2 linked regions of the Alligator mississippiensis genome follow. The protein of the gene in region 1 interacts with the protein of each later gene in a biochemical or structural test. Links are inferred from orthologs where the notes say so. Each region holds a gene or a part of one and is shown on either strand. Other genes may lie near its edges. The genes, in order: CACNA1A and CACNB4.

Evidence for each region.
Region 2: the proteins of CACNA1A (region 1) and CACNB4 form a complex in vitro, tested with the Homo sapiens proteins (2 studies listed by BioGRID). The link is inferred for Alligator mississippiensis from reciprocal best matches to the Homo sapiens genes CACNA1A and CACNB4.

The regions. Positions count from the first base shown.
Region 1 is NC_081831.1:23,047,188-23,063,224, forward strand, and holds the start of CACNA1A (voltage-dependent P/Q-type calcium channel subunit alpha-1A), read right to left. Parts: upstream 8,961-16,037; 5' UTR 8,009-8,960; intron 3,304-8,008; 5' UTR 3,195-3,303; intron 3,101-3,194; 5' UTR 2,984-3,100; intron 1-2,983.
Region 2 is NC_081827.1:226,565,325-226,581,593, forward strand, and holds the start of CACNB4 (voltage-dependent L-type calcium channel subunit beta-4), read left to right. Parts: upstream 1-7,934; 5' UTR 7,935-8,674; coding exon 8,675-8,683; intron 8,684-8,785; exon of another isoform or gene 8,786-8,825; coding exon 8,826-8,909; intron 8,910-16,269. UniProt on the Homo sapiens protein: The beta subunit of voltage-dependent calcium channels contributes to the function of the calcium channel by increasing peak calcium current, shifting the voltage dependencies of activation and inactivation, modulating G protein inhibition and controlling the alpha-1 subunit membrane targeting.

The sequences.
Region 1 (16,037 bases):
TTTATTTTTGAGCTGCACCCACGGTAAAAAAAAAAAGGCACTAGACTAGCAGTTCTCTGCCTTTTTGGATGCAAGGCTGCCCCCAATGGACTTGAGGCCCCTCCATAACTTTTGTGAATTGAGTGGCACTTATTTCAAAAGCTAACTTATATATATGACACTGCTTATCGCGTGACATAGGGGTTGGGGGTGGGGAATCATCCAGACAGGGAGGAGCTTGAGCCTGACTCCTTCTGTGTATCTCCTCACACCTCACAACACCCTTCCAAGGATCCAGCAGCACCAAGGTACCCCAGTACCCAGACTGAGAATCACCACACCATACCCAGAAGTTAGCTCCTAGTCTCCTGCCTGAACCATAGACCAGGCTTACCCAGAGCAAGAAAAGGAAACCAAGGAATCCTGAATCTCCATCACCTGCTCAACATGCTCCTTGACGGCGCTAGGAACACCAGCTCATACAGCCTGGTCCTGCCCATTTCAGCTCTGCATTGTCTACCCCAATGCTGGACAGGCACAAGAAGAGAGACTGGCGGCAGATGCCAGAATCTTTGCCTGTGCCAGAGATCTCACACCCAGGATTCCTCAGTGCTGCCCACCTGTCTCCCACCCAAACCCCTCTCTCTGCCAGGAACAGACTGCTTTCCCCCTCCTTGCAGATGGATCTGCCATGTAGACGTCTCCCTGCTGCAGACTCCCCAGCCGGGTTTTCCCTTCCCCCATGCTGTGCTACCCATCAATAACCAGCAGCTGCGTTCAGGGTGACTGGAAACAACCCTGGAGCTTCTGCTGGGAGAGGATTTCCACCTGGGGCACAGCTGAACTGGAAGCAAAGAACACTGGTCTGTAGTAAGAAGCAGAGTTGTGATAGGGGTGTTACAGGGGCACCTGGCAACTACCAATGCCCACTTTATTCCTTCCCCTGCCTCCAGCACAGAGCCACAGATTCAGTTCTGATACCTACAGCAAGGACTGGACTCTTCATCCAAAGCCAGAACTTGAAGTCCACATGCCTGACTCCCAGCACTTTCCCTGCTTTCACCATTAGCTCACCTCAGGACTCTAAAGGGAACCAGGTGTCCCTACTTGATGCCTCTTGCTTTAACCATTAGGTTGCTCTTCCTCCCCCACCATGTAGCATAAAAGAACCTCTCTGGGAGAGGGAACACATTTCCTTGAACCTTCTCTCACCTCGATCCAAATCCTAAGCCTGAGAAAGAGTTCACGATTAGAGGGAATCTGGATCATGCCTGGGCCAGGGACTCAGGCATGTTTTCCACAGTAACTTACAGTGGTGGGGAGAAAGAGGCAGGTCCCAGTGCAATGGGGAGGATAACATAGGCCTCTCCAACATCGCTGGAAATACTTACTGGATGCTTTCCAGTAAGTCTCTTTCAGGAACGCAAATCCCCTTGACACAAACCTTTGGCCCAGCCCAGAGCCATCGTAAAACCTTTTCTGCATCCTGCTCTTGGTAATAGTGACAAGCACTGGGTCAATCCAGGGACAGAAACCCATGTCACCACCTCCCCTCCCAAGACGAGAAAGGAGGTCCAAGTTTCCTGGCCTAGTCAGCCCTCAGCCTGTCTCTCGTGACAGCCACATTGAACCTCCAGCCACACCAAGAAGCCATCAGCTTGTGTCACATAAGGACCACCAAGTAGCTGTCTTGGGGCCAAGACAACCACAGATGTTGGTAGTGTTGGGTTAGAGACCCTTGTCTTGCCAAGAGCTGGAAAAAGACCCATCCCACATGCATCTCACATCCAAGCCATTAAGTAGTAATACATTTCTGGGCACCGCTCCTCTAGGCATGTTTTGGTCTCCAGGAGAAATTTTCTTCCATTCTCCTCCTCCATCCACAAAATCATCCTGATCTCCCATAGAATACCCCCTCCATCTCCAGGGACATCTGATCCTAGCATAGGTCAAGACATGTCTGGCTGTAACCTTCAGAAAAACTAGAGAGCACATTTCAGCTCATCCCCCAGCAGCACGGACCAGAACAGTTGCTGAGAGGCATGAGCCTAGAGGCTCTGGCCTGACTCTCTCGACCTTTGCAAGCTGACAGCTCCATCACCCCAAGCTGTGCTCTGGAGATCTCAAGCACTGTGGTCATTCTAGCCAGAAAAAATGCTCAAAAGGCAGAAGAGACTGAAAGAGGCAGTTGGAGATTGTACACTTCATGCCTGCTAGAAGCATCTGTTATTTGGAACAGATGATGACGAGGAGACAAAAATAATCATGAGATTCCAGAATCTCTCTCCCTGTCCCTCCAGCTTTTGGGGGGCTTATGCATGAAAGAAAAAGCAGCTAATGTAGCTTTTGGGCAAGGGGAGAAAATAGGGGAAACCTGAATTACTTGCAAACTTTGGAGAAAGAGAAGGGAAAGGAAGAGGTGCACATATTACATATGCAGGAGCAGAAAGAGTTTACAGGGCTCATACCAGCACCCCAGCAGCTCCCATCTGCCTCTCCTTTTGCATCACTAATGCCAAATGCATATTGCCTTTGGAACAAACACACACAAAGAAGAAAGGTGCAGGGGAGATCAAAAGCAGAGCTCTTCAAAGCTGGTGGCCATGCAAGGGTTTTGACAGGGAAGTCCCATGACCAGATCTTCAGCTGCTACCCAGATGGATCGAACCACAGCTAGAAGCCAGAGCTCTGGGCAGAGAGGGAAAAAAATTGCAGCAGGTGCAGTGCAGGTTTGAGGCAGGAGGGTTGAAAAGTGCAAAGGAGAGAAATACAGCCAGACTCTAATTAAAACCCCTCCTAAAGCAGAGAAGCCAAAACCAACTCGACCACGTTGCTGCGCTTTCTTTTCCACAGCCTGGGGAGGTTTGAATAGATCCGATTCAACCCCCCCACCTCCCCATTATACAAAGAAAAATACCCCTTAAATTCACAAGAGGTACTTGGAACCTGAACCTCAGGTCTGAAATTATGCCCCAGGTAGAAGTGAAATGCCAACAACAAATACCCCCTGCCACTGCCAGTTTGGCGGGGGAAGCCTGGTGTCCAGCTCCGAGTCCTGTGACTTCTAATCTCCTCCCCACCCTGGCTTAGAGTTGCTTTTCCAAAGAGCGTATTTGGTAGCCTGGAAAAGGAACATAAATCCAAGAGTGAGAGAGATCGTCCCCAGGGATCCCTCCTCCTGTCCCCCCACTGCTTCTCTGGGACCTGCTGCTTACCTGTTATCTCATCTGATCCTCAAAGAGCGAGCGATGACGGCAGCCAGTGAAGGGTTACTGCAACCAGCTATGTCCAGCACCCCATCTCTTCTCCTGGAGTCCTGCCAGCCTGGCCAAGGTAAAATAATCCATCTCCCAACACACTCAGCAGCCTGAGGATGAAGGGTAGGATGGGGATTGGGGGGGAGGGGGGAGGGGGGGGAGGGAAGGCAGGTGGGTGGGGATGCCAGCCAAGCTCAGGGCATGGTGTTTCCCCTGAAAAGGCAGCCTGCAATGGAACCAGTGCCAGCTGATGGAGTCCCAGCTGCTGGGAGAGGAGAGGAGGGAGGGTGGGGGTGGGGGTGGGGGGGGAGAAGATTTCCCTGATGATGAGGGCAAAGAAGGAGGGAGGAGAAATCAAGCCAATTACTTTTTCCCTGTCATCAGTTCTATGCTAGCAAGAAGGGGAAGGCAGTGAAGGTTGGGGGAGAGGGGGTGGGGTGGGAACAGAACATGGCTTTAAACTACAGGAGCATGGACCCAGCTCCCGGCATGTGGCTGGCGAACTCTGCCCATCTCTGAACAGACTCCATACCAGAGCAGGATGCATTTCTCTGGGCCGTCTCTCTGGTCGCCCCCAGGTAAGCACCTTATTTCCTGCCCCCATCGCTACAAGGATGGGCATTCTCTCTCCTATCCTCTCTAGCTGAAGAGAGCAGGGAAGAGGGTAAATAGGAGCAAAGGTGATTTTTCTTCCCCCACCCCCTCTCCAAGTCTATTGTCTGCAAAAAGCATCAGTGCCTCCCCAGTTTCCCCGGGCTGAGCTGTCTTTGTCTTCCCTCTCATCAGCTCTATGGTTATTAAGTAAATAAAACAATTTGTGACAGGAACCCAGTTTAAATTATTTATGCCAACAGAAAAATAAATGGTAATTACAACTACAGCTGCCTAGCCCCTCAGGCTGCTTCTGGTTATGCAGAGAGAGCTGACTTCTTGTAGTCTTTTTTTAAAAGAGATAAGGAGAAGGAAGAGGGAACCAAACTGGATATAATAGAAACCATGCAGAAAGGGTTTGGATTCCCAGGCAGTGCCAGGGTATCACTGACCCTTGAAGACCCACCTTCTGGCTACTGCTGCTTTGGGGGAAAAAAAAAATTGAAGCAACCAGGATGTTCAGAGATGCTTTCTTACAAGGAAAAATTAAGAGGCCAGGGCTGTTCAGTTTAGACAAGAGATGCTCGAGGGGGGTGGCATGGGGATGTGAGAAGTGTTTCTCAAAATACTAAATAGTGAAAAGAAAGTCACCCGGCATTTATTACAGACTGTTTCTCGCCAGACAAGAGCGATGGGGTCATCAAATGAAGCTGATAGGGTGTCAATGAAAAGGCAGTTCTTTTTCACCCAGCGTATCATTAGAGGGTGGCACTCATTGCCACCAGATGCAGTGGAACCTGAGAATTTAGCCAGATTCAGAAAGGGACTGGACACATTATTGAAGGAAAGAGGCATTGGTAGCTATTGATCGAGGGGGGGGGGGGGGGCACAGCCTCTGAGACATCCCAGACCTTAAAATGCTGGAGGCTTCAACTGGGAGATGACCAGGGGCAAAAACCCAGGTCAGACCCAGTTCATTCTCCCTGTCAGCATCCGCCCTCTGCTACTGTGTGATACAGGAGACTGGGCAAGATGGACCTAGGGTCTGACACAGAAACAACGGGTCTTATGTTTTTGCCCTCTATCTGACAAGATGATGCTAGAAGACTCCTTCTACTGGCAAACCGAGGTTATATCCCCACTGACCCAGTATGGTACCACACTCACTGTTTCCCTGTGGGAGATGTGCTATAAATAACTTGAAAAAATACCTCTGGGTAAAGGGAGCATGATTTAAGACACGGAGACTAGACATTTGCCACTTCCCACTGACTTCAGGATTAAAGGCACCACCTAGGCCAATCTAATTGGATCTGCCAAGAGAAGCAGAGGCAACAGCTGCTGACAACAGGACCCAGATCAGAGGCGGTTAATCCAGGAGCGGGGCAGAACCCAGCCAACTTCTGGTGTTGCCATTGCACTGCTTCACCTAAGCATCAACAACACTTGTCCTCCTGTTAGAGTCACCATCCAAATTGACCCAAAGGATCACAGATTTCTCTCTCTTCTCTGACCCAACTACTGGCACATGGCGGCCAGCAGTGCAGAATGGGACCATACAAATTGCTAGTCAGGGTGCGGTCCACACTGGAGGTGGTTCTCTGGAAGGAGGCCAATGGCTTTGTCACCAGGCTCTTCCAACACCTGCGCTGTTGGCAGAGGTAACAAAGCCTGGATCTCCCTACCCTGCAGAAGGGAAAGCTGTCTGATGGTTGCCAAAGAGACTGGAGACTGGCAGCCAAACCAAACAGAAGTTAAACCCTCAGAGGTGTGAATGAACAGCAGGATGGTTCCCTCCTCATCAACTAAAACCTTCACAGAAATAGACCTCCCTCTACTCACCTCCTGTCATGGCTGTGCCTCTGTCTGGCTTTGCCTCCAGGAACGCACAGATTTATCTAGGAGTAACCATAAACCTGCTCTAACACCCGCATCATCACCACCATTTATCATGCCCAGCAGTGGGGCAGGGGTATCAATTGCTCTCTCGCAACAAGTCTGAGCCAAGAGAGTCAGAAGCCAAGGAAACTATTTAAGCCGGGGGATGATGCTAGTTCAAGGACAATGGGTATCAAGTGGATTTTCCCATGGACAGAAGTCCAGACTAGAAATCAGAAAGTGTTGAACCACAAGAGGTTTAGGAACAGAAGGAAAAGAGAAAGATACAGAAAGCAACACACAGCCACTAGTTTTAAGGTGGCACTTATAAGGGCACGACACTGTCCTGGCTATACCGCATCTCTCTCCCCCTCCACCCAGACATGGAAGTAGCCCTACAAACTGCAGCAGCATGCTCTGCTCTGCCTCCCATCCCCCTTGCAATTCACTCCTGTCCTTTCTCTCCTGTTCCTCACTGCCTTATGTCTAGAGGACTCTGCTTCAAGCACCCTGCTTCCCAGTACACTTCGAAAGCCACAAGTCCCCACTCCCACATCCACCCACACCCCCCCACCTCCATCAGGCTTCTCAGGGCCCTGTTCATTCCACTTCCCACCTACCCAAGGTCAGTGGGCAGATTATTTCTGCTTCCAGGACTAGATGGTGAAAAGAACAGACATCATTTGCAGATGGAAACTTCTTTGGTTTCAGGGATGCTGCATCTAACTGGAGATGTGTTGGTTTTTTTTAAATCCATAGAGAACATCAGAGTGGGGAGGAAACCATTTCCCTGCCAGCCCTGAGAGAGACCTACTGCCCCCCATCATTGAATGCAAGAGAGATGAGCTGGGCTACAGTCACAGCAAGGGCCAAGGCAGGACCAAGCTTCTAGCTGACACCAAGTTCCCCTCTCCTCCAAGCACAGAGCCAGTGGAGGGGATGGGAAGCAGGGGAAAATAATTTATTCCCTCCTGGAGACCTCCCTTGAGTCATCCACCAAGGCAGGGCAAGCAGGGATATCAGCTCTAATGGCTGGGTGTTTTATATTCATTATAGGCATCCTCCCAACCGACCAACCCCTGAGCAATCATTCTTCTGTGACCCCCACAGGGTAGGTACATTATCTCTATTCTACAGACAGAATATCATATCTAGGGTCACACTGCACAAGACCATAGGAGCATAAGAACGGCCATGTACTGGGTCAGACCATAGGCCCACCTTACCTGGGCTCACATGTCACACCAGTCCTCAGTGGCTTCCTTCTTAAAGAAGGCTTATATTTTCACTTGGGGGGGCCAAGACCCATGCTTTCCCAACGGTATAACAAATAGGTCTGTGTCACATGGCCACGCAGAGCAGATACTGGAAGGGAAAGTGGCCTTGGCAAGAGCAGGGTCCCCCTGCTCACTCTCATTTTCAGCCTCTATCAGTAAAGGTCTATGAAGCTCCAAATGAGAGGCTGTGCCTATCATTCCCAGGCTCAATGGCTCCCGATCCCTCCTTCCTCCATGACTGTGTCCAGTCCCTTGGTGAATCCAGCTAAACTCTCAGCTTCTGCCATATCCAGTGGGAGCAAGTTCCACCCATTCATGACACTGAGTGAAAAGAGTGCTTTCTGTTCAGTTTGAACTGACTGCCTCCCAGTCTCGTGTCATAATGCCTTGCTCTTGTATAGTATGGGATTATAAATCATAAATGTGTAGGGACTTTCCCTTTAACAACCAGCATTTTGTAAACCTAACAGGCCAAGGCCAGAGCAAGGAGCAGAAGAACCCAGGAGTCCTGGCACCTATTCCTCTGGGTTTGAGAGGTCTGCACCCTCTCACAGACTACATTCCCCTCACAGAATGAGGGCTAGACCCAGCTCCTAGGATGAAACAAGCCAGGGGGTGCACAGAAGGGAGGGAGACTGATAAGATAGGCAAGACAGACTCACAAACATGACCCTGACTGGGTGTGGACAGGGAACAAGTTAAACTCTGCACCTCTCAGTACACATCCAACCCTAGAGCTCCTGCCCCTCAAAGTGTTACAGAGAGTGAGGCAGGACAATAGTTCATCTTTCCATTACAGGAGCAACTCTAGTAGAAAAACAGAGCCTAGATACTACAGAGATTCCCAGCCTGGGGCACAGCAAATCCCAGACTCCTGCACTGCAACCAGCAGCCTGGTACTTTTTACTTGATGCAATCAGTACCCCCAGAAAAGGGAAGTGCTGCTGCTTAGACAGTTTCCTTCCAGACAGTCAATCCAGCACTTTCTACAGATCTAGGAACAGACTGCACAAGGAAGAGACTCACCCAGCAGGCAGCACGCACCTTAAGACAGTCATGATCAGCTCAGCAAAACTGACTTCCTGCCTCCATCTGCAGCCTCTTCAGTAGCCTGGATGGGATGATTCAGAGGGCATCAGCGCCCAGCTTCCAGGTGCTAGGAAGCAGGGCCCTGTGATTCCTGTGGCAACAGCTGCAGATAATCTCCTAGCTGACTGAGCCATCTGCCCTGACAGAGCCCTCCCCTAGCCATCAAAGGCTGTGTTGGTGAAGGCTTGTGCACCTGAGATTGTTACAGAACCAATTAGCCCTGCTGGCTACTAGCCCATACTTCGCTCAAATCATTTTGGGCAGCCTTGGAGGTGTGCTCCAGAATAGGGATTCCAGGGGGAATCACCAGGCAAATGGATGCATCTATACACACAACTAGGGGAGGGGGGCAGAACGTGAGTTCCCTGGGGGAGGGAAGTCACCAGGCAAATGCACACATCTACACACTTACCTAGCTGAACACACACAGCTGGATTAACCTTAAGGCAGGGTTCACCAGGCAAACACAAGTATCTACATACATGGTTAGCTGCACATATACACAGCGAGATCAAACCCCTCCCTTTCTTCCCTGCCATCTTCACTGTGTCTGCTGGGACCAGGTCATTAAACAGACTCAGGACTTGATTTGAGCCAAGTGGGCACATGGCCCCATCTTCTAGCCTGATAACAAAGGGAGCTGTCTGCCAGTGGGGCCCTGGCCAAAGGCTGGGTAAACAATACCAAATGACATGGAAGCAACAGCAGCCCATTGCTTTCCTCTCCTATGTGCAGTTTCCAAAGTGCTGGGAACTGGCTCTGTAATTGTAGCCTGCAGTACTTCTGCCCCCAGCTGAGATTCTGGCAGTTCTCTCAAGCTAAGTGGGGTCAGGCCAGGCCAGCTCAGGATTTAGACAGACCTATTTGGGGGACATGAAGCCAGACCCACCAGGAGAGCTATGAGCCTCCTTTGAGGGGCTCTCAACCCATCTGGAATGAAGGGTCCCCTCAACAGACTCGGGTATAGTCACAAGCACCACTTGGAAAATGCCAGCTCTTAGCTGTCACCTCTTTTTTTTCTGACTCTAGAAAAAATACCAGGGCAAACTTCTGTGCCAAACAACTCAGAAAGCCCACAGCAGGGCAGCATCTCTGGGCTTCCTTTGTGAATAACATTTGTAGACCTTCAGTCAGGGATGATCCTGCCGCGTCCTAAGCAGGGGACTGGACTAGAAGATCTCATTAGGTCTCTTTCAGTCCTACTTTCCTACAATCCTAACACTGTGAGGTCCCTTGTTGCAACCTTGTGAGGATCTCAGTGCACCCAGTTAGAATCACTGGACTACAGGGAGGTCACTGGAGGCATGCCAACAGATTACAGGGAATTCAGGAGGAGATATTCAAAACAAATTGAACTTGGCTGGCAGGCTACTAGGCTTTTTAACAACCCCTGTTCCCCCTGCTTTACCTTGGGCATGTTCAGGGGCTTTGCGTGTCTTTGGGCAGCATGCCATCGTAGGTGTGCTAGGGTAAGAGTGATGTTGTAGCCACGATGGTCCAGAAGTTATGCGAGAGGCCCGCATTTCTTAGGGTGACTCTTATCAAACTGTCATTGAAATAGTTCAACAAGCTTTTGAATGCAAGATGGTCTTCATCAATGGGGCGACTGTATAGTTAGGAATAGGTTAGACAAGGACTTGTCTGGTGTGGTTTGATGGGGGTGACCCTGCCTTGAGCAGAGGGTTGGATGAGATGTGATTTACAGACAGCCCTACTGGCCTGAATGCTCTACAACTCTGTGATTACCTGGAAGAAGTGCACAAGGCTTGTAGCCCTGGAATAAAATGGAGGTGGGCTGTAGGTCTCCCATTGCTAAAAGATCTCCCCATTAGAGGGCAGGGCCCCAAGCCCAAGACTAGCCTTGCTTTTTCCCTCTGAGCAACACTTACCCTGACTTACCCAGTAGGAGGTGATGTCCCGGCAGAGGCACCTTTAGGATCAGATGGACTATTGGGGAGTCCTCGACACCCTTCACCCCTCTTGGCTGTGCTAGGTGTATTGCTACATTCTCCTTCATAGGCCCTCTGCTCCCAGAACCAGTTCAGTCTGAATCACAATGCTTAGCATGTGAGAAAAGGAAGAAGATGAGGGACAGTTTCAAGGGAGCCGAGATGCACAGGCCAGGGATCACACCCTATGTTCATAAGACAACCCCTGCAAAGAACAATGATCACAAGTCATGACTTGGTTTCCCCATACCCTGCTCTACTGGCCCAGAGATCATTCTCTCAGAGACATGAATGGCAATACAGCCATTTGAACCTGAACTGTATACAACTCCTCCACACAATGGCAGAAGGGTGGGAGTCTGGAACTTGCCTCAATCATGAGGCAGATTCAGAGGGCCCTGAGACGTGGCCACCCAGCAGCGAGTATGTCTGTGTATACTCTGCTGTATGTAGCTGCTCTTGGTCATGTTGCCTGATTGCTAATATCCTAATAAACTGGAGTCTAGTTTGCTGGAGCTGCCTTTGGCTTCTCTTGTACTGCTCCAAACCAAATCAAAGTCCCCAGAATCATCCAGGATGTAACAGTACAAAATCAAGGGTGTTACTACCCCTTCTTAATAAAGCTCCAGACAATCCCCTTGTCCACCAGCCACCTCCTGGCTTTAGGCTTCAGCAATAACATTCCACCTGTTCCTTGCAATTGGGCAGTTCAAGAATATGTTCTCAAGTGGCTCCTGTCCAGACCTCCATGGGCACTTAGGACACCAACACGTCTCTGCCAACTGCCCTGGTATGCTCTTTGCACATCCTCTGAGTTGTCACATCTCATACACTGCCCTTCTCTAGAGATATTCAATGGCACAACTGCTAAAACAGCAAGATTTTAAGGGCATCTCATCCCCCCCCAAATGCTGCAGCTGCACAGACAACAGGCCTCATTTCCCCTGCCTTGAACACAGTGGGAGCTGTGGACTCTGGATGCTTCTGAAACTCAGAGATGGGTCCTCTCTGCAGACTGCAGCCTCACCTACAGGCAGGACCTTGTCACGTGGAATTAGGAGCATATAGTGGATTATTTTTTTGGACAGGCACAAAGTGCCAGGGGAGTTTTGTGACCACAGGAGTTCAGGGTGTCTCTTTTAGGTCTCATTTAAAAAGACAGCGCTTCCAGCAACATGGTGCCTGGTGCTAGCTTTCCAGCTCACTCTAGACAGGGATACACCTTCCCAGTTTAGTGCACCACTATCTCAGCAGGAAAAGCCTTGCCCTGGGTTAATAATCATCCCTTCAGCTCTCATTTGTTCCTGACCAGATTCCCACCCACCAGCTGACCAGCCCTGGCCCTACTGATCTCGTCAGCTTGTATGAGACCTACCACTCCAGATCTGACAGCTACAAACTTTGGCACTGAACTACAAGGTTCCCTACAGGAGTTAGGGTCCTCACCAGGGGTTTTTCTGGAAGACAGACAAATTGGGGACCAGCTGTGTCACTGCCATCAGTTTCATGAGGTAGAGACAGCCTTTTAGACTGTAAGACCTACCCTCCCAGGTAGATAGTTTTAAAACGTAAGTGGAACAAGAATCAAAGGAGGGTGCCACTACCACTGCACCCATCTGGATCTGCCCCAAGCTACCTAATTTACTAGCAAACCTATTTGCTGTCTCTGCTAGTGACTCCCCCCACCCCGACTCCTCCTCTCAGTCTGCTCCTGTATCACAGTCCTTGGGGTGGGTGTCTGAGTTCCTTACACATGGCATGGTTCACACAGCCATCCTTCTCCTCCTCTGAGTGGCTGATCTGCGGGGTCACTGCCAAAACACTTCTAGCTCCAAGATGCTGAGGATGCCCAGGTAAGAATCTCTTTGCTCTGTCTGAATCACTTCTGCATTCAAGGCTGTAGCACAGACTGGCTGGACAGGGAGGGAGGGAGGAAAAATAAGGAGGTGGAAACAGCATTGCTGATGAAATGGGGTGCCTCTGAGTCAGGAGTGAATCATGCCCTGGCATGACGCTAGCAGAGGAGAGGAAGGGGACCTCATCATCTTGGCTCTTTTCTCTGCCACCTTCTATCTGTATCCAGCCTTTTTCCAGCAAAAGGAAGAAGCAGCCAATCTCCTTCCCCACACAAAATGAAGCTGGAATTCAGCTGTGAAGGTAAATCCCTGATGGAGACAGAAACTCCCCAAAGAAGTGGGGGCATTAGCCCTGTTTTTGGTAGCATGAAGGGAGCTGCGTGAATGGAGAATGAGTCTGCTGCACAGCGCCTGGCTCTCTAGCTCAAGCAAGTGAAACTTTCTGTGACTGGCACCGGAAATCACTGGGCTCTATCGAGAGCGTCAGGAGGCTCTAAGCTCTCAGCCCAGCAGTGGTGCCACATGGCAACATCACCCTTGCAGGGCTCCCAGCCCATCAAGAATTTGTCATGACTGTTTTTGAGAGGGGGATAAACGGGAGCTGCAGACACTCCATAGGTCCCAGATGGGTTTGTGACAGAGCAGGGGCTAAACCTCAGGACCCACAGTCTCTTGCTTCAGGTATCAAACCAACTCCTCTGTCTCAAATGATGTCCCCAGCATCAGAGCCAATTATATGGCCCAATCACCCCTGTTCCCTAGCGCTGTTTTGGACACGCACCTTCCCGGAGTTATTTGCTCTGGGCATGCAATCTTCCCTGCCCAGAGCAGGGGGGCTGGACCCGATGATCTCACAAGGTCCCTTTCAGCCCTAAATTTCTGTGAATCTGTGTATTAGGCTACTCTAGAGCCATCTCCACATCTTTCTACTTCAGATTCATTTGCAAGGCTCCAGAGGGCAGAGATGAGATAAACCACCCTCTCCTTTCACACAGCAGGGACAAGAGGGGTGGATATATCCTTTCCTGGGGTGAGGGGGTGGGGTGACCACGTGTATCCACTTTAGGCAGACCCAGTGGCTTAGCTGGATAGCTGGCCAAGTGCTTGCAGTGATCTCAGTCCACTTTCTCTAATTAACTGAAAGCCAACTGCTGAGATGCTGCAGCTTAACTTGCTTTCCTGTGGGGAAGGAACACCAGTGGAGGCTGTACGACATGCATTCCCCCTGCAGCTACCCCTGTAATGACAAGGAAGGCACAGAAAGGAAAGTGGGGAGGGGACAGGATAAAAGATCCATGTGTTCAAGGCTTAATCAGTGGCAGAAAACAAGTGACAGATCCCTGCTGGAATGGCTGACTCTGCAGGCATTTGCTGTGCCATGCTGAACAGGAAGCCAATGACAGACAAGGATCTCAAACCCAGGGGCACCTATATACGTGCCAGACGTCTGCTCCAATGTGTGCCAATTAGCACGCATCGCAGCAGACTCAATTAATCAAGTCTGCTGAAGCATGATAATTAGTATGCTCCAGCAGCTTGTCACATCTATTCAACATCCCTGCGCTTCAAAACGGCAGCAGGGGCACTTTAAAGTTCATCAAATGAGCTGTAGTTAAAGTGACCTTGCCGCCATTTTGAAGTGCATGACACTGAATACATGTGACACTTAGAGTGCTTTAATTAGAGCTGCTCTAATTAAAGCACCCCCACTCTGGAGCACATGTATAGATACCTCAGGTGTCCAGGCTGCTGGTCCCCCTTGATATGGAGGGGCTTCCATATGAGGAGACACTAAGACCAGGCCCGTTGCATTTAGAAAAGAGAGGGTTGAGAGGCGACATGAGAAAGGTTTACAAAACACTAAATGGTGAAGAGAAAGTCCATAGGAATTTATTATCGACTCTCACCAGATAGGAACGAAGGGTCACAACTAGTAGGGTGTGAAGCTAGTAAGTCATTGGTTTAAAATGAACACAAGGCAGTTCTTTTTCACCCAGCATGTCATTAAAGGGTGGAACTCATTGCCACCAGATGTGGTAGAAGATGAGAGTTTTGTCAGACCCAGAAGGGGATTAGGCACATTCTTGCAGGAAAAGGTCACTGCTAGCTATTGAGCATGGGAGTGAGGGGCATGGCCTCTGAATCAGAACTTCCTAGACATTAAATGCTGGAGGCTGCAAGTGGGAGAGGACCAAGGGAAAAAACCCTGGTCATGCCCAATTTACTCTCCCTTTCAACACCTGTTCTCTGCCACTGAGACGCAGGAGACTGGAGAAGATGGAGATGACCCAATAAATGGCAGTTCTTATGTTAACTGACCTGCTCCCCCAGTCCTGCCAAGGACATCCCCATTCCCCTCTGCTTGCACCAGTGAGTGCTGGCCTCCTGGCTCCTTCTTGCTGCCTCTGCCATCACCGCTTCCTTCCCACCCACTCTGGGTCTTCTAAGGTTTCCTAAATAAGAGGCAGAGATGCTTGGATTGAGTTAGGGAGATGATTTGAGCAAATCAACCAGCCAGGCTGGGAACTGCACCTCTCCCTGGAGGCAAATTTCCTTCAAGCTCAATGGATGCAAAAATCCAGCTTTCTTTGACAAGGAGGCTTGGAAACCCAACAGCCAGGTGCTGGGTCTAGGCAGAGGAAGCAGGGCTCACTGTGTTATTAACAGAACTCCCCAGGGTGATGGAAGAAATCAAGAGCCCCAAGAGGGACAGGTGCAAAGAGTTGCAGCTACAGGTGGAGAGCAACAGCAGAGGCATAATGAAGCAGCCAGGCCCCTGGGGCAGCTGCGTTGCTGGCACATCTGTGCATCTTAGACGGCAGCTGATATTTTCCACCCTCCCCCACAAACAAAGTCAGTGCCCTGGTCTCCCCACTCTGCTGATGCTATGGGGCAACAGGGAAAAGGTGGGGGCCACCAGAGTTATAAGGTGAGGGACATGTAGGCAGCAATAAGCAGGAGCAGACCATAGGGGATGGAGGTGAATCAGTGTGTGTGTATATGTGGGGGGGAAGGGCGTAATTAGTAGAAGGATTAAATGATAGAAAAGCCGAAGAGATTGAGGGGAAATCAAAGATGTGGGGAGTTGGGGAGAGGTGGGGCGAGTGACAGGGGAAACAGGAGGAGCTCCAAAGGGATTGGAAAGCATCAAACCCCCTAGCTTCCAGCACATCTGGTCCATCTCTAGTCAGAGGGTGGCTTCTGCCTCTTGACATAGCTGGGCTGAGAGTAGCAGAGAAAGTCAACACTGAGCCACATCCCCACACATAGGGTCACAATGTGAAACTAGCAGATAATTTAAAATGAACACAAGACAGTTCTTTTTCACCCAGTGTGGCATTAAAAGGTAGGACCTGCTGCCACCAGATGTAGTGGAAACTGAGAGTTTAGCCAGATTCACAGAAGACTGGACATGTTCTTGGAGGAAAGGGGCATCAGTAGCTATTGAGCATGGCAGCAAGGGGCAATGTCTCTGAATTAGAACTCCCCAGACCTTAAATGCTGGAGACTGCAAGTGGGAGAGGAACAGGGGGAAAAACCCTGGTCAGACCCAGTTCACTTTCCCTTTCATCACCTCCTCTCTGCCCTGGTGTGACACAAGAGACTGGGCATGATGGACCTAGGGTCTGACTCGGAAAATGGCAGGTCTTACGTACTGCAGCACAGCTCAGGAAGCCTTCAGCTTCACACAACCACATCACACTGCCAACAAGGAAGACATGGAGAGTCCCAGGCACCAGGGGAGTCTCTGGAAATCCCTAACCCCCCACTGCATGCTTGAACGCGTGAGTAACATCTCTGCTCCATAAGACAACAGAGCTGCGTGTGTGCGTGTGTGCACAGCAGTTTCCTTTAATTGTTGGTTCACACGGGGACAGCGTAGGAGTGTTAGGAAAACAGAATGACACACAAGAAGGAACCCTCTGGGGTGGCTGTGTCTGCAAGAGAGAGAGAGAGAAAAAAGACAGCTTGTAAATAGATGTCTGGGACATTGATTGCGGTCTTTGCGGATAACAGTAGGCATGGGGAGCATATGATAACGCACATGCAAGGGGGGAGCATGTGCACGTGCTATGGGCAATACCATATGTGAAGTGTGTGGCTAGGAATCCTAATGTGACAACAGCACGTGCGTTTTGTGCAAGAAGCATCAGGCTGGGA
Region 2 (16,269 bases), on another chromosome or scaffold:
CAGATGTTTCAGAAGGGCAGGCAGGGGCAGCTGCAAACTGAAGCACTCTGTGGTTGCAAGTTACCTAGCCAGGAAACTGTGATCTCTCTCCTTTGTGGTGGTTTAGGAATGGGTAAGGAATAGGCACCAAAATGCTTGTATTGAGGGACTATGAAGGTCTGCTTTGTTTTCCTCTCAAATAATGGTAAGGTGGAGAAGACCCCCAGGAGCAGAATTATCTTTACAGACCAGGGAACTCTTGCTACCTTTGATTCCCCTCCTAACCCCAGCTGTCAGTCACTTGTCTGGAATAAATATCAATCTAGTAATGGAAAAGCTCTTACACCACTTGAAAACATTAGTTTAGACCGCTGTGTAAAAACAGGGGATGTGTTCTGGGTGGTGGAATTATATTTTCTTTATGCATAAAGAATAGGGTACATGTTGAAATGAAAAGGAACTGCTTTGTACTTGTGGAACTGTAGCATTCAGTAGATAAAAAATCTGAAGACATTTTCCTGCACTTTTTAATGGGTAGCTTTTGTAAAGGGTAGAAGAACTAGAAGAGTTGGATATTTTTTCACGAATACAGGACTTCTTTCCTTTTATTGTTTTTACTTTGGAAATCTGAACATCGCTCTCTTCCCACCTACTTAATCAGCTCAGTAATGTAATCATATTTATAAATATTTTAACTTTATGAATGGCTTATCTTTAGACTGAGGAAAATAATGGACGAAAGCACTTGGATAAAACCATCCGATTAAATGCATGGAATTGTTGAAAGCATTTCTGCATATGAATGTTATGGTGTATAATTTTTCTATCAAATGAAAACTATTACACTGTAGATCCTACTAGTGTTCTCCCAAAATAAAATGTACGCTCAATTCAGTGCCACCTCCATTTCTTGTACTGTTACTAAATTGATTCAGTAGTATGATTTTGTTCAATTGTGGCTTCATATTAGAACAAAGTGTTTGGTAATTGTTCTTTGAATGGTACAAATTCCAAGTGTGCATAACTTTTGCAAATTTTTTGGCATTTAATTTTCACTTGAAGCTGTTTAATAAAAACTACTTTAGTTGGCATCATATCCGTGTTTTGATAACACATTCCTTGATTCCTTTTTAAAAAAAATATCACAAATTCATTTGAAATGCTGATTTTTATTTTTTAAGGATTTCTAACCATTTGGAAATTCTTTATGCAAGGACTTGTTCTAGTAAAAAATATATTGAATCAAATTTAACCCTACTAACATTTATGTAGAATCAATCACATTTGTTAGTAAAATATACAGGTAAGTTTTTGTTTGATTTATAGGCTCTGATCCATCATAAATATTGTCCAGTATCTTAAATTGGGATGACAAGCATTGACCAGTTACTGGATTAATGTTTGATTCAAATTTAGTTCTTAATATAAATAGTGTATATACTCATTTGTCTGAGGATTTATGCACATTATGACATATACATTCACTCTATAAATAAACCTGAAATTTTATATTGCAGGATTTGGCATCCCGTCATTTCTTGTAAGCCTAATTCTTTGATGCATTTATGCAATTTGTAGATAGTGTAAAATATTTTGATTTTTGTCATTAAAATGGTGTATTTAGAGGGTTTGGTGTTAATGGGATCACTTTTTCTCTTCGTACTTCAAAACATTATCATATTTATTTTTAAGGCCTGATTGTAACTAAATATACTGCCAAAGGATCTATCTAACTTCGGATTTCTACATTAGGTTTATACCTACTGTTTTATACCGGGGTAAATAATAGAGAACGTCTGCTTTTTCAAATAAATCCTTAATGTTTAAAATAGAAAAACTATTCAACTTTATAATGAGAATTTTATTGTACTATTTGTTTTATTGATGTTGAAGATATTAATACAGGATAAGCTTTCTTCTAGTATGAGTTTTGGAAACCTAAGAAAAAACCCTGGAATAAGAAATGTCACTTTCGATTGACTGTTATGCACGGACATGCTTTATGAATGACTGTTTCCAAGAGCCTGCATTGACAAACATCTTGTCTGTTTTTAAACTATGGACATTGAAAAATAAAATCAGTAATGTAATTGTTAAAATTTTAAAAAACATGTTTTTGTTTATTTCATTAGGATTATATTTTCATATTCATAGTATCCTCTGGACTATTGTGATTCAGTGAAAAGTTGTCTTTTCAGCAAAAAGTGGTGGATATGATTTCAGCTCCATCCTTTGTTGGAACTGTGTTCTCCTATAAGAGCATTCTTCTTGTCTTATAGCTATGCATCTATACTAAAAAGTACAGCTCAGTAATGAAACACAAGCAGGATTGGTTTCTGTATATCTAGTGAGTAAAACTGAGTCTCTTATTTCTACACTTACTAGATTAATTGTACATGAAACAACACTACATTAACATATTTTTAGAAGATGAATATAGGAAGGGAAGAAAAGATATAGGCACAGTCTCAGTTGGTATAAACTGCCATAGTCTCATTCACTTCAATGGAATTATGACATCTTTCCCAGCTAATGATCTGCTCCCGTGGCATGGCATGTCTGAATGTGTTCTCTGATCTCACATTCCAAATTAAGCTCTCACTGCTTCTATTTTGTCTCACTTTAAATTGAAGGGTAGATATGTTTATCAAAGGTAAAATATACTGGAGGAGAGGGTGACTGCAGTTAATGGATAATGATGTTTTTTTGAATTTGCAGTACTAAAAATAGGGGATTTCTTCCATTGGAGTAACCATATGTTTGCACTGCCTTGTGTGAATAAAAGGAACTTGTTTTAATCTGTGCTAGTAGAGAGTTTTCTGTTTTAAAATTACTTACCAGAACTATGTAACTTGTGCCTCTTTGATTCACTCTATTGGTTTTTGTAAGCATATATAGCATAGCTATACATTGACAAAAATGTATACCTATGGATAGAGAGAGCTCTCTCTACAAAATGGATGTTAAATCCATGTTAGGATGAGGAGAATAATCAACAGTCTTATTTACAAAGGATGTTAATTTTTCATATATTGATAGTCCGCTATATATAACTATACCACACTTAATTTTTAAAATGTACAACCTGAAAAGACCCGAGTATCTTACTGTAACTAATGGAACATTGATTTAGAGCACTTCTGGTAACCATCTAACCAAAAGGAGATTGTTAGCTGAGACCAGAAGGGGAAAAGCCATTGTCATACATTTTAAAAAGTGAAGTCATAGGTCCAAAACACCTGAAATCAGTTCCTGTGATTCATTCTTAAACTGTGTCATTGTTTTGCATTATTTATGTTGAGTCACTTTAACTTTTATGGAATGGTGTGTAACTAGTTTTAGACCCATAGTTAAGTCTTGTAAAAGCCAGCATTTTCCAAACCTAATAGCAAAAGAACAGTTTTCAAAGATTTTTCATTTCAGAGAAAATCAACCTTTCAAACCATGTATTCTCGGTGAGATGACTAAAAACAGTGGAAGTGAATCATAGAGAAGAAGTAGGGCTGGAAGGGACAAGGTCATCTAGTCCACCCCCCTGCCTGAGGCAGGAAAGGTTGCCTTGCTTTATTCAGGGATTGAACCTACAACCTTGGTGGTGTTAGGGCTGTGCTCTAAACAAATGAGCTAATTGGTTATAAACTAATAAAATTTGAACAACTCCTTACTATCTTCATTTCCTGAACAACACATCAGTTGCATTACTGAGAGGATGCAACTGGGGCAGTGGCTTCAGGTGCTACCTTTGAGGAGGAGGAGGGGGAGGGTGCAAAAACAATCGCTGCCCAGGGTGCAGAGCTGCCCTGTTATGCTTATGAATAGACATGGGTGGGAAGTCAGCCAGCCAGAATCATATTAAGATTTAATTTAAGAATCCTTTTGTATTTAGATTAATTCAAAACATTTTAAACACTTAATTTTTAGACTTTGGGATTAATGCTATTCAGTTCTTGCTCATGTTTCTTTGATCTAGGAGTTAGGCTGCCTAATTTCATTCAAGGAATTCCATTATCTACTACTTGTGAGCTTAATGGATAAAACTGATCTGATGATACTTTTTTTTACCAGATATCTGTAGGGTATAAGTTTTTTTTGGCAAAAATTGGGAAACATTACAAGAGAGTCCCTCCCCCCTCAGCCTGCTGCACTTCTGGATATTATTCAAAATATAAAGTTAACAAAACTAGGGATGAAAACAATCTGCATCCTAGTCATATACGTGAAAATAATCTGTGCCTTAGTCATATAAAACATAAAGATAATCCCTACTGACTAAAAAGGTACTCTCCAAGGTGAAAAGACTGTGGAATGTTGTCTTGGTTTCTGTTTGACTTCGTTTAAACACTGATCCATTTGCCAGTTTTCTTCAATCAGGTATGAGAAATAGTCTTCCAGTGACTAATCTTTGTTAAAAATTCATATTGCCCATTGACTGGATGAAAGGTGGCAGGATTACGAGTTAAACCTGTAAATATAATTGAAACTGTCACATTTAACAGAAATATATTTCCAGATCTGCATGGAAGTAAACAGACTATTCTAACTTATCTGAGCTTAATTTGCACAAAGTGAACTATTTCAGCCAGGGGATCTTACAATACCTTCAGCTGTCTTGTGAAATATGAATTTTCATTTCCACCTAGGAGAAATTTTACAATCTTTGCATTTTCCTGTGCCTGAGGAAGGGTGAAAGTGCTGGAAAGCTTGCAAATGAACTTTTTTGTCTTTCTTTCTTTCTTTTTTTTTTTTTTTTTTTTGCAAATATAGTTGGTCTAATAAAAGATATTACCTCTACCACGAGTTCTGCTTCCAGATGTACAACACTTGTTTTTCTCTCCTTTCTCCCTGTCAGTTCTGATAAGACTATACAGCCAATAATGGCTTAGCTGGAGAAACCCATGCTTTTCAGCAGCATTACTATATGTGTAAATAATTGGTCTAGAAGCAAATAAGCTTGCATATATGTTTTCTTTTTTCACTTCTGTAGGAGGTGTTAATGTTCTTAAGCACATGAGTGGGAAGCAGGGAACCCAGGTCCTATTTTCAAGCCTTCCCTGGAATTCCTATGTAACTTTGAACAAACTGCTCAATCTCCATTTTGATTTTATTCCTCTGAAAATTTGAAATCATATTGCCGTATCTTAGATGTTTTAAGGTAATGTTCTTCAGTAGATGCATTGGAAGTGCTACGTAATATTACAACTGAGCATGTTTTAATTAGTTAGATTTTTGTTTCAAATCGGTTTGAGATTCAGTGGGTTACAGTGGGCTAATGGACTGGTGACAGTCTGGAGGCTCTGCATTCATACCTTAACCTATCCAAGCCTGAAATCAGAGTGTAGTGTAGTTAAGATCCAGATATTCATGCAAGAACAAAATGCTTTCAGATTCATGATTTAAAAAAAAAATGTTTTAGAAGAGAGCAAATTTCTATCAGTTACGTAAATAAATGGTGGTATGTCAAAATTAGGTGCAAATGAAACGTATCTACCTACGTTTAGTTTGACATTCTTAAATTGGATAAACCATCTGAAACGTATTCTCAAAGTGCACAGTGCAAGCTGATCAATCATTCTAATATTATAAAAGCCTAAGTCTGTCTGTCTGTAACACTTTATTAGCACTCTGACTGGCTGACAGAAACAGCTAATCAGAGTGCTCCAGGCATAGGGGAGAGTGCTGCCATGATTCGGAAGCTGTGCCAAGGACTGGACAGGGTGGGGGAGCCGATTGGCTCCCTGCAAGAGGCAGAACAGCAGCAGCATGGGGCATTAGGTGGCAGCACTCCATCCCAGCTTCCTCCCCTCTGCCCCCATCATTCTTGATGGGCAATTGGCTAGTATTATATAAGGATAAAGCATCAACTATTTGTTTATATTCGCTTTTAATTTGTAATTAGTTACAAGTAAATCTATCATCTACTTTGTAGCTTGGAGATGCATTCATATTAGTTTTTTTTCCCCCATCTGTCTTTCCATTGCATACACTATTCATGCTATACTCTTGGCTATAGGCCTTAATACTTCAGCCTGATGATGAAGTTTGTTAGAGCAGTGGTGCTCAACCTCTCGACCAAATCTGGCCCACAGGGGCCGTGTCATTAAGGGCTCCAGGGGGCCCTATGAGTCTAGAAATGTGGCAACAGGAGGAGGCTGGCAGTGTTAATTGCTGTGGCTTCCAGAACCATTGCAATTAACACTACTCCCACGCCACCAGGGACCAGATGACATAGTCCCATGTGTGGGTATTGCTTTGTGGCCATATCCAGGACACTGGCACCAGCCCTAAGCCATTCATTTGGTCCTTGGAGCCAGAAGATTGAGCACCATTGTTAGAATCTTAGTATCTCAGTTAATCTCTGTTCTTTCTTTACATCCAGGTGACATGCATCTTATTCAAGTTTATGCTTCACAGACACAACCATTACAGGCAAAGACAAAACTGCTCTGTATAAAGTGAAAAGGACTGACCCCCTCCCCCAGTGCCAAATTAAAAAGAAAATCTTAAACTAGAGGTGGCTCTGGGAGTTTGCATGCAGACACTTGATTGGTTAGGGCATGTAAATAAGACTAAAAGTCAGTGTTCAATAGAGAATGATGAATGGGAAGGAGTTACCCTAATACTGATTTACAGAGTTGTTGACAGTTAGGAATTCACGGTGGATTAAGTTCCAGTGATTGGAATTTGAGTGTTAACATGGTCGAGCATACTGAGGCTATTTGAAATACGATTCATTCCATTAAAGCATCCAGGGATTAACTTGAACCAGAAGATAGAATGATTTAGTAATGTCATCAGAAATTCAATCGCCAATAGTAGCCCTAGCGTATTGTCCTATTAATCTGCCTTGCATCCTATATGTAATTACAGAAAATTATGTTTTTTTAATGTTGCTGCCTATGTAGGTTCAATATGAATATTTCCTTTGTGTCCAATTTATTTGTGGTCACATCATCTGCTACTCACTCTTACTAACTTCTCCAGCTGCTCGTACTCCTGCCTCCAAAAACCAGAGGCAGTCATTTGTCCTACTAATTTTGAGTTTACTACCCAGTCTCACAGCAAGCAAGCCTCTTAAATGTAGCTGTGCTATGTAGTCAATTACCAGCATGCCTTTAAACAAGATGTTCCATTTTGGTTCTCTATACCAAACTGCATGTTCCCCATAAACTCAAATTACACAATATAGCATATTGCTTTTACTGCCTTGCAAAACTGACCTTCAAAGCCACAAGGTCATTGCAGTTCTATGGAGGGGCAGGCAAACTGGCCTGAGACAGCAAAATGTTTGGGGACTCTGAGCAACTGAAAAAAAAATGACAGAATTTTTATGTAGTGGTCATTAATGCCACAAAAGTGTTTACAGAATGATTTGAGCTTCTGAGTAGCTTCAGGAGCCCAGTGTCTTCACAAAGATGTCTGCTACTACTGTGCACTAGCTTTCATCTGAACCACCCAGATCCTCGCTTTTTGTTAGATGTGGGCCCTTCACAGCCCAGAGTACACACACAACCTTACCTATGTACAGGCAGGTCAGAGAGGTGCAATATCATCTAATGTGTGCAGGATCCAGCTGGGCTTCATTAGTGCTATTGTTGAATATATTGATGCTTTTTTTTTGCCAGTTGCAGCAATTCTGGGGCCCTTGCTGGTCAACTTGTCTGGAGCAAGAATGAGGATGCTGGTCAGACGCTGTTTCTTTCCCCAGGGCAGAGAGGTAACAAACACCACACAGCCACTTCTGTTTGTGACAGCCTCAGGACTAGCCCAGATCCAGGTGTCTTGCACCTCACCGTCTCGGCATGATTTGCACACAACTGTTTTCCTCCCGTAGCCCCCTTTTCACATAGAAAACTTGTATGCCAAAACTTCTCTCTGAACACAGCCTCCTGGAAACAGTGGCTTGGCTAGTCTCCTTCCTGCGCTATTCTGCAACACAAGGGAATTGCAGAAAGGGTCCAATGGCCTAGATTAAAAAAAAAAAAAAAAAAAGTGCTTTAAACATCACAGTGCCCTTCATGACTCAGAGAGAGGTTATCACGCAGCAGCCTTAACTCTTGCTGGGGAAAACGTTATCCCGGCTCCTCAAACGTGATGCCCCATTTTGCGCTGCCCCGGGCCCCTTCTGCTTCACCAAGGCGCGCTTGCCCGTAGTCTACATCACCGTCCTTCCCGCGGGCATCGGCCTGACCCGCCCTCGGAGCCAAGCGCGAGCTAATACAGAACCTGCAGCCAGGCTTTGAACACCGAGCTTTCAAAAAAAACCTTGATTTTTTTTCTTTCCCCTCCCTGCGCCCCACCCCCGGCCAGCTGCGCTGCGTGGGGGCCCTGCCCACCCCGGGCGGCTCGGACTCCTGCTCCTCCGCCTCGTGCCGCCCACCCCCACCACAGCCCCGGGGCCTCTCCACAACTCCCGCGGCCGCCCCGGCACCTGCGGGCAGGCGGGCGGGGCGGGCACCGCCTCCAGCCGCCCACGGCCCCTGCCCTCTCCTGGCTGCGCCCGGGGCCGGCGGGGAAACTTCCCGCTCCGCTCCCCCGAGACGCCCCGACCCGCCCTGCAGGTGCCTGAGCCGGCCCCGGCCCCCGTGGCAGGCAGGCGGGCAGGCGGGCGGGCGGAGGCAGCGCCCAGCTGTGCAGACTCCGCGCTGCAGGGACCGAGCCGCCGGCTGCATCGCGGGCTCCGCTGCTCCTCGCTCCGATGGCTGCGGTGGGTGCTGCGCGGGGCCGCGGGGGGCGAGGGCTCCCGTCCCCATCCCCGTCCCCGTCCCCTCGGGCGCGAGCTGCCCGCGCGCGGCCCTTGTGACTCGACCTCTTCCCCTCTCTCCCCCGTCCCCGCATGGCGGGCGCAGGTGACGCGAGGCACGGCCACCCGGCGCAGCCGGCTCAAGCGCTCCGACGGCAGCACCACGTCCACCAGCTTCATCCTCCGCCAGGTAGGGCCGGGCCGGGCCGGGCCGGGCGGGCGCGGTGCAGCGCGGCGGCGGGAGGCGGCGCACGTGTGTGGCCCGCCCGCTGCACCGCCGGGGCCCGAGGGGCTCGCGCCGCGCCGACCCCGGCCGGGCACTCGCGGGTGTCGCCGGGCCCGGGCACGTCGGGGCCGCGTGCGAGACCCCGCCGGGCTTCCTGCGCGGCTCGCCTCGGCTGGGGCTGGGGGGCCGCGTCGCGCGTGTCCGCGGAGCCCCGTGCAAAACGCCTCTCTCGCCCCGCACCCGCTCTGCCAAACAGCGGCACGTCTGACTGGGTCCCAAACCCAAGGGTTTAGAAATGGGCATCAAGAGGCTTTTGGTCTTTTATTGTTCTCTTCAGGAAAAAATAAAAAGTCCTTTTATGGAGGCTACAAGCCATTGCATTATACGCTCGGCTTCATCTGTCACTGGGGACATTTTTTAAAGCAGTGGTAGACATTTTTGTCCGGATTTTCTTGCAACTTAATTTTCAGTTGCTGGTGCAGGGCTTTTTAGGGGGTTTTTTGGCCTCAAAACAAACTTGGAAAACAGTGCTGGATTTATGTACTGGAGTCTGTTGGTTTTCTTTTTTTTTATTAATATTTTTCATGCTCTCAGATTCTTGCACTGTATTTTGAACCTTTCTGCCTGTGCGTTTAGGGCACCCTCGGGTCCCATTGTAGGTTTAGGGCCTAAGCGTTTCGTTGGTAGGAGCTAACACCTCGCTGTGTGTGCACCTCAACCAGAAATTGGAGCTGAGCACTCAGAGCCTCAGGGTGGGGCCGACTTGTGGATTAGGCTCAAAACTTGTGGCGTATTGTCAGCCTGAAGTGCTCATAACGTTTTGAGACCGGTTTGAAAACCTGATGTATATAAAGATGTAATGTGGTCTTCTGGGTCTTGAGCTATTAGGTTATATTTGGGACACATTATTCAAGTAGTTCTCTGTAACTAGGAGGACTAGAAACACATTTGTTTAAAAAAAAATGAATCCTGAGACTTTCAACTTTCAGGTAATCACTTGATTCCAGGAGCTGAGTTTTTAACACAAACCAGAAGGAACCAAATGATTGCCATGCATTTAGTATAGGGGAGCCTAAAACACCTTTCCTTCTCCTCCTGCCTTTGGCACCAGTGGTTTAGGTAAAGTCAACCTTGTAACAGCTACCCTTCCCCTTCTAATTCCCAAGTTATGTTTTTGGCTACTAGCTTTCCCTGGATAAAACAGAGATCATCTGTACTCTGACTGAAGCTCTGGCATAATTTCTTATGTGATGTTTGTATAAGTCATTGTTTTAAATATAAACTATGAAATGTAAATATTTTGAGGGGTTGTTCATTCTTTGTTTATGCCTAAAGAGTTCACTTGACTGGGGGTCTGTGCCTGCCCTTTTTGCACAGCAGAAGCTCTCCATGCTGCTAGTGGGATTTTGGGGACGATAAGGAAAGCAGGACTGGGCCTCTGAATAATTTGGGCATCTTCACGTAACTGTCCTGTTGTAAAGGTTGTTGAGGGAGTGAATTATATTGGTGTAATGGACAAAGGGGAAATAAATGCCCAAAGCGAGTCATCATTTACAATGGCTTTGTGCTATTTTATTTTCACTATAACTGCATGTGCAGGCTCCTGGCAGTTTCACATTGGCAGTTCTCATTTTGCTGGACATGAGGAGAAGTCAAGGGAGCACAAAGGAGTAAAAAGAATATGAAGCTTAATGTAACCTGAAGCCAAATAGATTTGACTTGCAATAAAACATTAATAGATCTGAATCTAGTTTTGGTCTGTGTTCATGGACTGTGCTAGTTCTGCAAGTCTTGCAGAAGGGCTGTGGGCACTTCCTGTAGCTGTCAGAAATAATTTTGTAGACTCTCTGATATGTCCTTTAAAGTGATGGATTTCCAATGAAGTGTCAAAGCACTGTCTGTAGGAGTAAGACTGCATTTTACTTGTTGTCACTTTGTTGCACTGCAAGGGATCTGAGGTCTGACCCTGGAAGGTGCAGAACATTCTTCCTTACTGTTAGACTTCTAGAGGGGAATTCAGGGCACACAGTTTCTCAAAAGTCCTCAACTTGCAGGATTAAATCTTCTGTGGCTGATCTTGCAAAACCTTGCTCACGTGTACTGCTTACACAAGGGCCCAGTGGAAACTGGTAGGTCTATTTGCATGAGTAAATGTTTTTAGTCGGGCCCTAACTACCTTGTTGTCATATTTGAGTTTTATTGCATCTGACATCTTATTTGTGTTCCAAATGTGCTGAAATGTTCCCCGTGCTTTGCAATGTATTCATTTTCTCATGTTCGGTGCTTGCTGTACTACAGTTCATCTAAATAGCTATTAGTCTGTGATCTCGTGGAGGCCAGTTAGAGAAACTCTCTCTGCTCATGGTTATGGTCTGGGGGCTAGATCCAGCCTGTGGAGCTCTTGGATTGGGCCAGTGGAGTGTGGGGGCTTTGCCTGTGCTGTGCTGACAGAGGTGGTGGGAGCCAGGTCCTAGTACCAGCATGTTTGATCTGCACTGGGTCATCCTGGCTTGCTGCCTGAAAACAATGCTGACTCCTGCTCTAGTGTCCTACCAAAAATGTATACCTGTGTTATTAAAGGGCCACTGTCAAATATTTAAGGCTTGGCATTGTGATTTTCCTTGTAATTGATAATAGTTTGTATCTCTTGCACACCCAAGACTAAGTGATTTCACTGAGAAGTTTGTGTGCAGGGGGTACTAAATTTTGGTCCTGCATGGAGAAGGAGCATAATTTGTTTTGCATCTATTTTGTTTTCCACAAAACTTTACATGTGCTTAGTTTTAGATTGCATGTATGATAGTGCTCCTGAGGGCTGGGGTGGCGTGGGCACCAGTGTGCACAGTTGACAGCTTAGAAGTTGCAAGTTCAAGGCCATACATAAGTGCTCATGGTGCAGCCTGTCAAATTCCAATGAAATCTGTGAATTTTGCTCAATATGTTGTCACAAGGACATAAAATGTAGGAATAGTGCTCCTAATTTACATGCTTAATTGCCACAGTTGCATACATCTCTGTGGCCTTGCAATAGGAAATATTCAGGTTTAAATAGCCCATTAATGCCTTCCTTACCGGCCAATCATATGATCACTGCAGATTTTTATATAGTATGCTGTTTGGAAAATCAAGCTCAGGCTGTTCATTTCTCTTTACATATATATGAGTTAGTTGCCATTAGCTTTTCCTCTCCCCAGAAATGCAGCTATTCTTCCTGGTCCCCTAGACAATGATTTGTGCTTTTGCTGCCAGCTGTGCAGTAGTGAAAGCTGTGGTAGCAGATAAAGTAATGCACACTATTCCCAGAACTGTGCTGACACAGTTGCTGTTCCTGCACCAGTGTCCAATATGTCTTGGCACAATGAGGTGCTACATAGGTTGAAGCTGTTACATAAGTATAACTTTAACTCTGTTCAAAGTGCAGCAAAATAAATCAATGCAAGAATCTGGATTTGTCAAATGGAAGAACAGACTGAGAAAAAAAGTGATGTTGCCTACTAACAGGATATTACAGACCCTAAAGATAAAAAAAAAAAAACCAAAAAAAAAACCAAAACAAAACAAAAATTGTGCAAGTTTACTTGAGAGTCCTTTAGATGGTGGAAAATTCAATAGTTCATAAAGACAACAAGAAGCTTTCATCTGAACTGCATGAGTTCAGCAACAACAATATCTCATGGAGTGCCTCCCACCCATCACTGAAAAAGAGTATGTGGATGATTTGAAGTTAGACAGGTGTTTAGGAAAGCATCACATTACTTTTTCCTGTGAATGTTACTATAATATGTTCCTTCCCATACAGCAATGCCGTTCTCGAGATAGTGTTTCCTTTGCAGAAAGACATTTTGGTTGTTTCTTTTGTGCTTTAATGGAACTGGCTTTGAATATTCTCAGCCTCCATGTTTAGTCTTTGGTTTTCAATTTCTTTTATAACAGAAGGGATGGACGGTGGGGGGGACTTTAACTGTATTTAGCACCTGTAGGCATATCACCTTGGTGATCTCAGTCACTGTGAACTTTTCTCCACACCTTTTTTCCTCTTCCAATAAAGATTAGGTTAGTTGGGACACAGGCAAGAAAATGTCCAATTTTCAGTGTTTATAACAGGTTGTTCAGTATTATTCAGATTACATGTAATTTTGAAAATATATTTTTTTTCACTTGTATCACTAGACTTTGTAGTACAGTGTCCTAAAAGAGTTTAAAACAATCCAATCTAAATGTTAATACTGTAGTATTTTAAGATTAGCAATTGGTTACCAGAACATACCAGTGGAACTATGGTTTTTTTTTATTATTCTCATTCTAACATGCATGTGTAAAAACGGGGGGAGGGGGGCCACACACACGCACCTGACAACTATTTGTGCCTCTCAAGATGAACCACTCTTCTGTTACATTTATTTGTTTTAGTTTGCATTTCTCTTGAATGAAAAAAAAACGTAGCAGCAAATAATGTTTTGAGTAAACTTGAAATGGGTTGTTTAACTTTCCTTCCCTGCCCTGCAGATTTTTATCACTGAGAAATGTCAGTAAAATACTTTTAGTCTTAGATGTGCATCAATAATGGCAGAAACACTGCTTACAATATCATGAACCTGGAATTATGACAATTTATGCCCATAATTACTTCTTAACATATGATAAATGTTATAATGACAGAAATAGATTAAATGAGGTACAGATGGAAGCAAATACCCATATGCTGAAAATCATTAGGGAAGTATGAATAATGTTTATAGAATTAAGTGAACAGGTCGTTCCCTCCAAAAATTAGTCTACCTTGTGATTCAGAGCTTTTACTGAGGGGAAAAATAACCTGCAAGGACTGAACATCATTAACATGTGCATCTCATTTCAGTTCTGCTGTGTAGTTAAGGAAGTGCTAAAATTTCAGTACAGTATGTGGACTACACTTGCCCTTAATTTTAAGTATCTGCTTAAGTGGTTTGCTCTATCAAGACTTAGCAAATGCCTGGAATGTCTTAGTTCATATGAGTTATTTCGTGCATGTAAGTAGTGCTATATTGAGTTCAAAGCTCTAGTCATTAAGGATCCTGTAGTTCTTTTTGTAAGAATAGGGTATTAGCCTAGCTATATTGGCCATGGTTTTTCTTGGGGTCGGACATAAATTCTGCCTGCAGATTCAAACAGGTATGATATTCTTGTAGTCTTTTTGTCCGGTCCTATTGTGCATTGTGACACAGCTGTGGCGTTCTGCTTCTGGGATATCATTGCAGGGTGAAATGATCCTAATGCATATTGTGTATACTTCATATAAGCTGTTATAGTAAGGTCAGGGATATTGTAAGTGCTTTGGGATTTCTTGGACTGAAGGATGTTCTTTCCAAGGGAGCTAATTATTAAGTAAATGATGCATTAATAGAAGTATTTGGATACCATTTTTCCTTCTGCTAAATAAGAATTGCCTCCATATTTTGCTAGAATGAATGGGTGTTTACAACATTACGCAGGTAGCGCATTAAATGTGTCTGCATGTGCCTAGACTGCAGGCAAGGTGCAATGCTAATTTGTGTAGACACAATCAAGCTAGCTTCAGTGTGGCCATTTCAAGTACCAGTAGCGGTTTAACTTGAAACACAAGGTGGGCTAAATTGCTTGAGAATTAGTTTCGTGGCAGGGGATTCCTGTGGTACGGAGCTTCTAGCTGCCACAACAATGACGTGTGCGACTGCCTCCTAGCTGTCACTTCTCACCTTTGACTACATTAAAGGCATTCCCTCTATCCTGAGGCATAACCAAGGCTGTGTGACCAAGCCTGGCACGGAAGCTGTTAAGTCCAATATGGATATTTAAGTCCAAGGAATCAATGTATAAAACTATTCTTTATATGGCAGGTGCTGCTCAATTATATTTAAGAACCCCCTTAGGGGATAAAAGTCAATTATCAACATGACAGCACAGGAGACTAAGTAGGTCAGTTGAAAACATACGCTTATAATTTTTGCAAATGCTGTAGTAAGAATTTATTGTTTTCGAAGCTTTTATGTTTCCAAGTGTCCTAATAATGCGTGATCCTGTAGGAAAATATGATTGATAATCTTTACTCATGATTGGCATCATTTTATTATCTGACTCTCTCTAATAGTATTTCTTTCTTTGACACGCATCATTTTGCAAAACAAAAAAGGTGCCTTAAAAGCTTGCCTACAGAACCATTTTAAACAGAGTTTAAAATGGGGCTCATGGTGGGTTTTTAATCACCTGATAATTTATTGCAATGATACCCATTAACTTAATTGTTCAAAGAAGCCGTAGTTCATCTTTTTTACAGAGATATGTGCCCATAGCCATTGAAAGCTCTCTAGAGCATAGACTAATATAATTTTGCATGAAAAGTCAGTGGTGGAACACCAGTGAGAGCTTTGTATAAACACAATACAGAAATAACTTTTCCAGAAAAAACTTGGAGAAGAAATTGCTGGGGAAAAATGAATGCCTCAATACCTGTTTTACAAAATGATGGCGAAACTTTGAAATGTGTGTTGGTATGGCTGCCCAGATCCTGGAGTCGCACAGCAACCTCTTTGGAATATTTTTGAGGTGCTCTGTTTATGATCTGATGGACATATTTTGTACCAAGAAAGCTCCTTTTGGAAGGGGTGTGTGTGTGCATTTAATCAGAATAGTTTTGATTGATACAACGTGTATTGTAAATGTAAACTAACACCACATTGTTTTTCCTGTATGAGTCCTCTATGGGGAGAAAATCTTAACTGTATGTACACTCTCATAAATAGAGACCTACTCATTTTGAGATTTCAAATAAAATTGCAAAATCGGGCAATGTCCACAAAATCTGCAGGAGCAAAAAACTTACTAAAAGTAAAAAGTTTGTCCCCCAGTGGGAGCCAGCAGTCCCCAGGGCCGCTGGGGCCCAGCCATGCAGGCCACTTGGGGGCAAGGCGTGAGGGGGGCTGCCATCATAAAGGGGGGCAGGTAGGATGGAGGCTGCCTCCTCCCCATGCTGCTGATTGGGTAAAAGGGTGCTTATGATGCGATGAGGGGTGGGATTGCACGAAGGACAGTGGTGGGGAGCGTGGCCATTGGGACCCCTCGGCCTGTCCGAAGGGACCCTGGTGCGACGAGGCCTCAAAAATGGTGGCTGTCCCTGCGATCTGCCTGCAAAATCAGCCGCCTGCCTCTTCAAGTTGCCTCCTACTCGTAAATGGGTCTGTACTAAGGGGACAGTAATGTTTTAACTGTACCACTACAGTGGGACAACTTCAGAGAATAGATGGGATCTTATCTAAGCACACCAGGCTTATTACCACAGCATTTGAGCACCTGCATCAACGTAATAAAT